Linked DNA regions of Kluyveromyces lactis. The protein of the gene in region 1 interacts with the protein of each later gene in a biochemical or structural test. Links are inferred from orthologs where the notes say so. Each region holds a gene or a part of one and is shown in the gene's direction. Other genes may lie near its edges.

Region 1 (3,303 bases):
ACAAATGTCATCTGAAAGATAACGGTAAGTTTGCTTTCTAATATTTTTGTAAAAAGATATCAATACTTAAAGCTAACTGATATAATGCAAATGTAACCCCATTAGTAGTTGTACTATTTACTTTTGCCTAAAAAAAAATTCCTGTTTTTGTTTGTGCTGTCTCCCCTTTTCACTATCGATACGAGAAAAAAGTACAGAAATTGTTGCATTTTCTTCTAAATTCGACTAAATTAAATGCCGCTCAATCGCCTACGGCAGCCTACATGCCTATCAGAGAACTTCTTGGACTCCTTACTTAATGAAGTCCCTTTCCTCGGATGCTGAATGGAGAAAGACCATACAGCTCAATATGATGGAAAGTGTCACCTGAGTATACGACAAAGGCGTTAAGAACACCGCTATCATAAAAAGAGTCGAAAAAAAAGTGTCATCTAGGACTATAAGACAAGTAATATCGAAGAGATTCTGGGCAGTCCGAATTATCCCGCCAGGAACCTCAATGACAGAGATATTTGGCCTGGGTATGTTCCGGGAGCATCTGAAAGGTCAAGAATGAATTTAGGAGAAGCCAGGCAGATAAAATATGATGTATGTTACCCTGATTTAATCACGTGGATGACTTCGAGTCACTTTTTTCGTCTGTCTGTATCTTAGATTCTCCCCGCAAGTCTAAAAAAAAAGGATAAACTTCATTGTTCCATGAGTTTCCATGGTTACCTCTGCATATACACACTGTACTGCAGAAGGTATCAGTGGATACAAAGCGGTATGCTCTTTACTCTGAACAATCAAAGTTAGCAGTTCATTCCATATATCCCCGCTCTTCGTCATGCAATCATAAACCTCAAGTCATGGCGATCTGTAAGCCGGAGAAAAGATTCATTGCAAACAGTTAAAGATACAAGGCTGAAATACAGAGATGGCTGCAACGTAACAGATTCCAAACTGCCGGTTTTCCATCGAATTCCCTCTCGGGAAATTTTTCTTTTCAAACGGCCACCTTAGGCCGAGCGAAACTGATTACACTGGATGCTTTTATATAAATAGTGATCACTTGGGCGGCCGCCTTTTTTTCTCTCGTATTTGCCACTTCTGATTGTTCTTTCCCCCGTTTATTCTCTAAATACGTTTATCTTTTTCTAAGATATTATTCGGGTTAGATACTATTACTACCTATATCGCATTCATATATCTATTCTGAAAGTTTGGACAGCATAGCAGCTATCATTATTGTTCTTATTTTCATTTTTTGTGCTATATTCTCCGTTATTAGTAAGAACTGATAGGGAGATAAAATAAAAGAAATAAGCGAACAAGTTCCTTTTTTTTTAAAAAAAAAAGGGAGTATATATAAAAACAAAAGGGTTATTTTGGCAGTTTGTTTCCTGATATTATTAACAACATCATATTGGTTAAGAAGGAGCATCAAGAGTTTCTCTCATAGAAGATACTGACTCAAGGTTATACTATTTCACCCCAAATTATTTACCCCCCCCCCTCTCATTCCCCTTAAAACTAGATCAAGAGAAAACATGCAAATTTTCGTTAAGACTTTAACTGGTAAGACTATCACTTTGGAAGTTGAATCTTCTGACACCATCGATAACGTGAAATCGAAGATTCAAGACAAAGAAGGTATCCCTCCAGACCAACAAAGATTAATTTTTGCAGGTAAGCAGTTGGAAGATGGCAGAACCTTGTCTGACTATAACATCCAAAAGGAATCCACTTTACATCTTGTCTTGAGATTAAGAGGTGGTATGCAAATTTTCGTCAAAACCTTGACTGGTAAGACCATCACTTTGGAAGTCGAATCTTCCGACACCATCGATAACGTCAAGTCTAAGATTCAAGACAAAGAAGGTATCCCTCCAGACCAACAAAGATTAATTTTTGCAGGTAAGCAGTTGGAAGATGGCAGAACCTTGTCCGATTACAACATCCAAAAAGAATCCACTTTGCATCTTGTTTTGAGATTAAGAGGTGGTATGCAAATTTTCGTCAAAACCTTAACCGGTAAGACCATCACTTTGGAAGTCGAATCTTCCGACACCATCGATAACGTCAAGTCTAAGATTCAAGACAAAGAAGGTATCCCTCCAGACCAACAAAGATTAATTTTTGCAGGTAAGCAGTTGGAAGATGGCAGAACCTTGTCCGATTACAACATCCAAAAAGAATCCACTTTGCATCTTGTTTTGAGATTAAGAGGTGGTATGCAAATTTTCGTCAAAACCTTAACCGGTAAGACCATCACTTTGGAAGTCGAATCTTCCGACACCATCGATAACGTCAAGTCTAAGATTCAAGACAAAGAAGGTATCCCTCCAGACCAACAAAGATTAATTTTTGCAGGTAAGCAGTTGGAAGATGGCAGAACCTTGTCTGACTATAACATCCAAAAGGAATCCACTTTACATCTTGTCTTGAGATTAAGAGGTGGTATGCAAATTTTCGTCAAAACCTTGACTGGTAAGACCATCACTTTGGAAGTCGAATCTTCCGACACCATCGATAACGTCAAGTCTAAGATTCAAGACAAAGAAGGTATTCCTCCAGACCAACAAAGATTAATTTTTGCAGGTAAGCAGTTGGAAGATGGCAGAACCTTGTCTGACTATAACATCCAAAAGGAATCCACTTTACATCTTGTCTTGAGATTAAGAGGTGGCATCTAATGGTAAAGATTTATTTCATATTTCCGATTACTGGAGTGAAACTCGATAGGGAGTTTATTAACGAGCTTGAGACCACGCAAAGCCGTTGTATCATTTATACTCAATTCAATTTTTTTTTTTTTTGCATTTTTTTTTTTTCCTTACATTCTTTGGATAAAAAGTTTAGGGTCTTGTATATATTATATACATTTTCAGAGATACATAACAACTATGATAATGTTATAAATAGTAGAAGATAGTAATATATCATCCGTTGGCAATTTCTACTGAGATATTCCAATATTTAAAGCTTCAGCTTTCAATACTGAGGAGTCATCCACTCTAAGAATCTCCAAAATGCCAAAGTCGACCATGGTATTGGTGTGGGGGAACTTTTCTTTCAATAGCCCACCATACCTTATCAGCTTTATCTTGACACTTTCAATAACTTCTTTCTTGTTGCATAGAGCGTGGCCATATTTCCAGATATCAATGAAAATGTGAGATACATCATTTGAGGAAACTTCAGTTTTGGTCCATGGTGTAATGAGAAGAATTGCTACGTCAAAATAGGCCAATTCTGATCTCCAGCTATACAATATTTTAGAACTTTCAAACATTCCTTTCATAAATTCGAACACCAACT
Region 2 (2,920 bases), on another chromosome or scaffold:
CCAAACAATAGAAGACCCTTGACATGGGAGATGCCTAACTTTTCAATAACAGCTGGAGGGAAAATTCTGCTAGCGAATGCCCTTCTAAAAATCTTGGTAAATTCGCGGTCTAAACCACCAACGCCTAAGTCTTCAAATTTGAAATCAGGTCTAATAACGGCATCCGATCTTGGTCTCAGCGAGTTGGACGATTTCAAATTAACCAATCCATCTCTTCCTTTGAAAAAGTTTATCTGAGTTTGTTTGATTAAGATTGCCTTAGCTTCAATTGAGGTAGAAACCGGAGCTACAATTTCTACATCTCCCAAATCAATAGTTTGCGTTGATCTTACTCTTAGATCGAAGATATGTCCCTTAAACTCGAATATCAAGTACTGCGTTGGTGAGAATATTTGGGATTCAAAACTCTTTAAAAATTGCTTAGCAAGTTCATCTTGATCAAAAGGAGTCTCCACGGCTTTTCCTCTAGACCTGAAACTGATTTCCAGATCCACAGATCCTAGATACGCATGCTTGCCCGAATGTTGGAATAAATCGTACGGTTTCACCTGTACATCTTGATTCAATGACCAACCTCCCCAAGTACGTTGGTTACCATTAAATCCAATGGTACCAGGTTGAGTTTCGTTAGAGTGTCTTGTGGTAAACACGAATAAGTTGTCTATAATAACGTAAATATTCTCTGGTAAATCGCTTGGTGAGACAGCTGCCACATTAGCCAATGCATAACTGTTGTTTGGACAGTTAGCGACACGCAATTGTCTAGTACTCATATTAACATTAGACATATCAGGTACCCCTGTAGAATGCGTGGCCTTTCCAAAAGATGGCAACTTGCCACTCAACCCGAATTTCTCCATATTTCAAAAGGGGCGCAATGACACTTATAGCTTTCTGTGAACTCTTGGATTGTCAATTGAAGAAAAAGAATATAATATTCACTCAACTGTATAGTTAGCTTTTAAAGATCTGATAACGATACCTTATATTACTTAGTCTTCTCGTACTGTTTTCAGGCAATTGTCTGTCTAATTGTAGGTAAAGTATTGTTTCTCACCTATTGTTTCCTCGATTTCATGGTTTTTTTTCAGAATGTATGCTGCTAACATTAGGAATTTGTCAACAGAATCAGTTTTATAACAGAAAGCACATCATTTTAAGGATGAGATCATGAAAGCACAATAGTGGCTGTAATCAATTGTCCAAGACAGTAGAGCACTCTGTGAACACAGCAGGTTATTGGCTGCTACATAGAAAATCAGCTGAATTTTTGACATGACTACTGGTGCTCTGGTGGCAGGGCACGTCGATGGTGAAACGATGACTGTCACTGGTTCTTCGGATAATGCAAGGAGAGACAGAGACAGATGGCGGAATGGTAATATTTCCAGTCAGTTTGTGAACGAGTTTGGCGAGTGGGAAAAGGATGAGAATGTGACGCAGTGTCTAAGTTGTGGGATCAAGTTTAGTTTTCTAGTGAGGCGTCATCACTGTAGATGTTGTGGCAGAATTTATTGTGCTACTTGTTGTTCAAAATTCGCATGGTATGATAAAAACCGGGTTAAAGTGGTTTTGAAAAGTCCAGCAGAGTATGAAATGGAACCGTACAGGACTTGTGATTCCTGCTATGAAAATCTATTACAAATGAAGCTACTGAGAACTGCGTGGGGTGAAATACAGTTACCGAAACCACCAAGACGAATCGGAAATTCTATGGGATCTACTTCCGAAATCAACTCCATCCGATCATCGTCCATAAGGCCTTTTGAATTTATGAAGAACCAAAACGTTGTGGAAAATGTACGAGAAACTGAAAGCGAGAGAAATAGTCCCAGGAATATACATGCTGCTGATGAAGATTACGATCGATGTCCAATTTGTAATTTTGACTTACAAGTTTTCGGATCAGAAGAAGCAGCCCAACAAGAACATGTAAGCGAATGCATACGGCAAGCAGAACTTGCTCAACAGCAGCATAGTCTTATCGGAAGTCCAACTTACCAGAACAGAATGCTCGTATACCAAATACCTAAAAACGCTACGAATATTCAAGAGTGTCCAATATGTTTCGAAGAAATGGCTCCAGGACAAAAAGTCGGTAGGCTAGAGTGCCTATGTGTGTTTCATTATCACTGTATAAAGAGTTGGTTTAAGAAGAAGGTACAAAAATTAGCTACGGTGAATTCCGCAACTCAGGACTCTGTCTCCATGCTTGGTAAAAACTACTGTCCATTTCATGACGCAGTATACTACTAATGTGCTTTTTAAGCCGTTTAATATCCAATACTAATAACTACCTAATACATAATTTGCATACAGCACAAACTTGCATACAATATCACATATATATATACCTTCGCTTACTATAAAAGCCACTTGCAGTTACTTGTCCGTCATTATCTATCACTTGACCTAAAGAAAGTCAAAATGTCCCGAGTGTTCCAATTTCTTTGGTCCTTTTGGTTTGCCTGCCAGTTTACCACACTACCCTCCTCCACTCCTCCTTACTGGCCTGGCTGACTGCTTAGTAGACGAAAAGGATGGCGAAAGACATGTGGGAAACAGGATGGCAACACGACACATATGAGAAACAGATGCGAAACACATACTTAACGAAATGTAGCTTTGGGCTGAAAAGAAATTAAAAGAGACTCTTAAACTTCACGTATGCAATGTAATGTATGAGTGATGATGAGATGAGATGAGATTAAGAATAAAAAGATTGTGGGATAACAAGCTACTTTGGGAGACGTACAATACTATACCGTGTGAGGTAAACTAACTTTGTGTCATGGTTAAGTGTGAGGTTTGTGGTGATAAAGAAGCACTTTATAGATGTCCAAAATCATCGGTTAGGTATTGTTCGTTAGTTTGTTACAAGAACATAAAGAAGTCAGAATCAGATAATGTAGAAAGTAAT
Region 3 (3,729 bases), on another chromosome or scaffold:
TAAAAAAAACACATGCTTGTTTCACAAGTCCTGTACATATATAGCAATTTTACATAATTTAACAAGCTCCTTTCACCTTTTACTCTGTCGTCCTACGTTAGCATCTCGTAGTTCCATTAGTCGTAGTTTCAAAAAATCTTGTAGATCCTTGTTCTTCCTTGTTCGTAGTAACATATCTTCAGACGTAACAACATTTCTGTTAGCATGTTGGGCAAAAGCTTCCAAATCACCACCAACCTCACATATCTGCTGGTAAACCAGTTCAGTAAGAGTGTTGACATATTTTGAATTGTATTTTACATCTTCTGGTAGTTCTCTTTTGATAATCGATTCCACATAGAACCACAGCTTCCCGCGTAACTGGGATCGTAATCTCTTCTCTTCATCCATATTTGATCAACTGAACGACGCTACCATGAATAGAGCCCACAGGACAATGCCAAGTCAGGAATTGCCAGCTCAAAACTCTAAACGAACTGCTCAATCGATTGTAATCTTGTATATCTTGCATATCTTGGATATCTCCGCATTCCCAATGCATATCAATTATATTCATGTTTTCAACAGTTTCCAGAATAGAGGCAATTTGCATATATATAACGAAGACAACAGAATGTTTGATATCAGATAAATAAAAGATGGAGATTACAAAGAACAGCGTTAGAAAGTGAGGCGCAAACGTTTTTCGTGAAAATTACTACTTGACGAGACACTAGTGAGGTGTATGCTTGTGAAAATACGAGTCAGGTTATCCTTTTGCTCGAAACTGATAACTTATAGAGACATCTTGTTTTAGGTATTGCAAAAGAATAGGTTCAACAAATGAGCAAGTATACGTTGTCGTTCGGTTTGCTTCCGTTAGAACTGGATTCTGATACGAAGCATCTTTTGCCCATCAGCTCAATTACAAACTTAGATTCTACTGTGATAACTACTGGACGTGATGGGAACGTAGTTATTGAAGAGACTCAGACGAAGTTGGCTGTGCATAGCGATTGGATCAGTGGCATAGCTTGCCTATCTGCCGCCAAATTTTTAACGGTGTCTCATGATTTCACTATCTGCTACAACTGGAAAACGACTATTTGGAACCATAAGATTGTCGGCTACCATGCTGACTATGTGAAGGGGATAGCTTTAATAGGATTAGAAGACATGAAATGCAGATACGCCACGGTAGGTTTGGATAAGAAGCTAAAGATCTGGGAACTGGATCTTTTTGAGGTGGAGAACGAGGAAGACGTTGAAGCTAAATTACTTGGAAAATTCGATAACACCACGCATCATGATGCAGGGTCTATTTATTGCCTGACTGCTACGAAGGACGTCATTATCTTTGGAGATAACGAAGGCCGTTTAAGCTGGTACGATATAAATAGTTACAGTGTGATAAGAACCATAGATGACGCAGCTGGTGTGAACTTAAAGACTTTGAAGCTTTTAGATGATGAAACAACCGTTCTTAGTACAAGCGCAGATGGAGAGATCAAACTTTGGAATGTTGAAAGTGGCAAATGCCTTTGGACCAAACAGTTGTCGCACGCAATATGGTCGGTAGAAGGAACGCTTTCTAAAGATTTATTTCTTGGCGACTGCATGGGTAATATAACGCAACTTCAAGGTAATCAGATATCTGTTATCTACAAGCCAAGCGATTGCGACACAAAAACAGGTGGCATTCTGGCAATGGCCATTATAGAAGATGTGTTGTGGTTCTCCAGATCAGGAAATTCGGATCTAAACAAGTTGAACTTGTTGAGTAAGAAGCTCACGGTTATAGAAGGTGGCCATGCACTAGTGCGGTGTTCTTTGTTGACAAACCGCAGACATGTCATCACGGAAAATACATCCGGTGAGTTGGAGAAGTGGGATATTGTTTCTTGTGAGCTGGTTGAAAAAATCAGCCGAGACGAAGGTAATTTCGATGAGGTGGTCAGAAAACTGAATCCCAAAGAAGTCTTACAGCACTGGTGCTCCGTTTCGATAAAACGAGGCATTCTTTTTGTAAAGATCAATGAACGTTTCCTGAATACCGAAGTATACGGAAGTGCCCTCACCGATTATGTAATAGTCAACGAGGATAAAGTTGACGAAATTAATTTGGACGAAAGATACAATTTGGGTCGTATAGCTGTCAATTCATTATTACATGGTTTTATTGATTATGAATTGGCGAAGGATAAGAAATTCAGAGAAGATATTTCTTCCACAAAGAAGCAAACTCCTCCATCTACTCCAAATCTATTAAGAAGACACAACTCAATGGCCTCTGACCATACGAACCCTGATCAACATAAAGACAACAAAAGTATCAAGGAGAAAAGACGATTATCTATATTTACCAAGTTCACTCAATCAAATAACACTACCCCGCAAAGTTCGGCCCCCAACACCCCCAATGGTATACCTGACGTCCCACATACATATCACGGCATAATCGAAGAAAGCGAAGATGAGATGGGAATGATGTTACCTGGCCCAGCAACTGCTCTACCTACTTCATCGAAACCGGCGAACCTCACTTTGACAAGGTCTGTTACTGAACAAAGTATCGAGAGATCTGCTACACCTTCAAGCACATTTGGTTTCCATAACAGATCATCGAGGGTAAAACTAGAAACTAACAGCATCGATGACCTTCATAGTATCTCTTCTACTGGGAATGGTGAAGTGAACTTCAAATTCAATTCAAAGAGTTTTTCCAAAGATCTGTCTGAACGAAAGCCAGGACTTTTCTTGAACGAATATATCGAAGAAGTTTATCACGCTTATTTGAAACAGGCTCCAAACTCCTCATCAACGTTCATGAAGTTTGGGAGGCGGATCCCCGAGACTTTGTTCATCAGAGACTCAACTAGACCCGTGATACAAATCAAGAGTGGATGCATTCTCACGGTCAACCATTGGAAAGAGGGGTCCACAGGGGAAACTATTGCATTTTCCACATATCTCCCACCCCCTACATATACGGCAAACGACTTGATCGATAACTACCATACTTATGAATCATTAGAAAGACATCTCCCGATATGGCTTGGAAAGATTCTTTTCAAAGAGGATAAAGTCATTAAGACGTACCCAAAAATCACATTCATCATCCAGCCTTGGAAGGACGAGGCTCATTTATCGGAGGAAACGCAACAATCGCCAGAGGCTGAAAGACTAGTAGTAGAACATAAAAGATCAGGGTTCCACAAAAAATCTAAACCACCTGAATCACCCTTAATGCTACCGAAGATTAACGATAGCAATGTTAGATTAACAGCTGCAAATATGATAAAGGCAAAAAAGATCAAGACTTACATAGTGGATAGATTCGAATCAAAGACACCTGAGATGAAAAACAAAGAAGATCCAAGCGAATGGTTAGAAATCTTGTGCAAAGGAACAGTACTAGAAAACGATATCACCCTGAGTGCTATACGCACTTTATACTGGAAATCAAACACAGACATTGTTCTTGAATATAGACGTAAACCGACTTAAAATTAAGAGAGACTGTGAGACTAAGTTCTCACCCAGGCTTATCAATATATATATATATAACTAAATATAGACATATATACAAACATAGAACTACACCTGCCGCCCTTGACTCAGAGCATTCCATACCAACACAAGACAGGCACGTGACTGAAATCATGAAGGACGAGTTTGATGGTTTGGCTCTGTTTCCTTCTTTCATCGCATTGAAATTTCGAAGGTTTGTTGAAGTTTTTCTTTTTCTTT

Evidence for each region.
Region 2: of the proteins of UBI4 (region 1) and PIB1, one has a biochemical effect on the other in vitro, tested with the Saccharomyces cerevisiae proteins (3 studies listed by BioGRID, with this or other methods). The link is inferred for Kluyveromyces lactis from reciprocal best matches to the Saccharomyces cerevisiae genes UBI4 and PIB1.
Region 3: the proteins of UBI4 (region 1) and DUF1 form a complex in vitro, tested with the Saccharomyces cerevisiae proteins (2 studies listed by BioGRID, with this or other methods). The link is inferred for Kluyveromyces lactis from reciprocal best matches to the Saccharomyces cerevisiae genes UBI4 and DUF1.

What each region holds. Positions count from the first base shown.
Region 1 is NC_006041.1:74,323-77,625, reverse strand, and holds UBI4 (ubiquitin), read left to right. Parts: upstream 1-1,532; coding exon 1,533-2,678; downstream 2,679-3,303. Other genes in the region: ECM29 (Ecm29p), read right to left, coding at 2,942-3,303. UniProt on the Saccharomyces cerevisiae protein: Ubiquitin exists either covalently attached to another protein, or free (unanchored).
Region 2 is NC_006039.1:1,270,940-1,273,859, forward strand, and holds PIB1 (phosphatidylinositol-3-phosphate-binding ubiquitin-protein ligase), read left to right. Parts: upstream 1-1,275; coding exon 1,276-2,256; downstream 2,257-2,920. Other genes in the region: AAA family ATPase SEC18, read right to left, coding at 1-860; HIT1 (Hit1p), read left to right, coding at 2,792-2,920.
Region 3 is NC_006042.1:1,965,551-1,969,279, forward strand, and holds DUF1 (Duf1p), read left to right. Parts: upstream 1-822; coding exon 823-3,486; downstream 3,487-3,729. Other genes in the region: MHF1 (Mhf1p), read right to left, coding at 73-390. UniProt on the Saccharomyces cerevisiae protein: Ubiquitin-binding protein involved in the resistance to phenanthroline, sanguinarine, nordihydroguaiaretic acid (NDGA), isopropyl (N-3-chloro-phenyl)-carbamate (IPCPC) and guanosine 5'-O-(2-thiodiphosphate).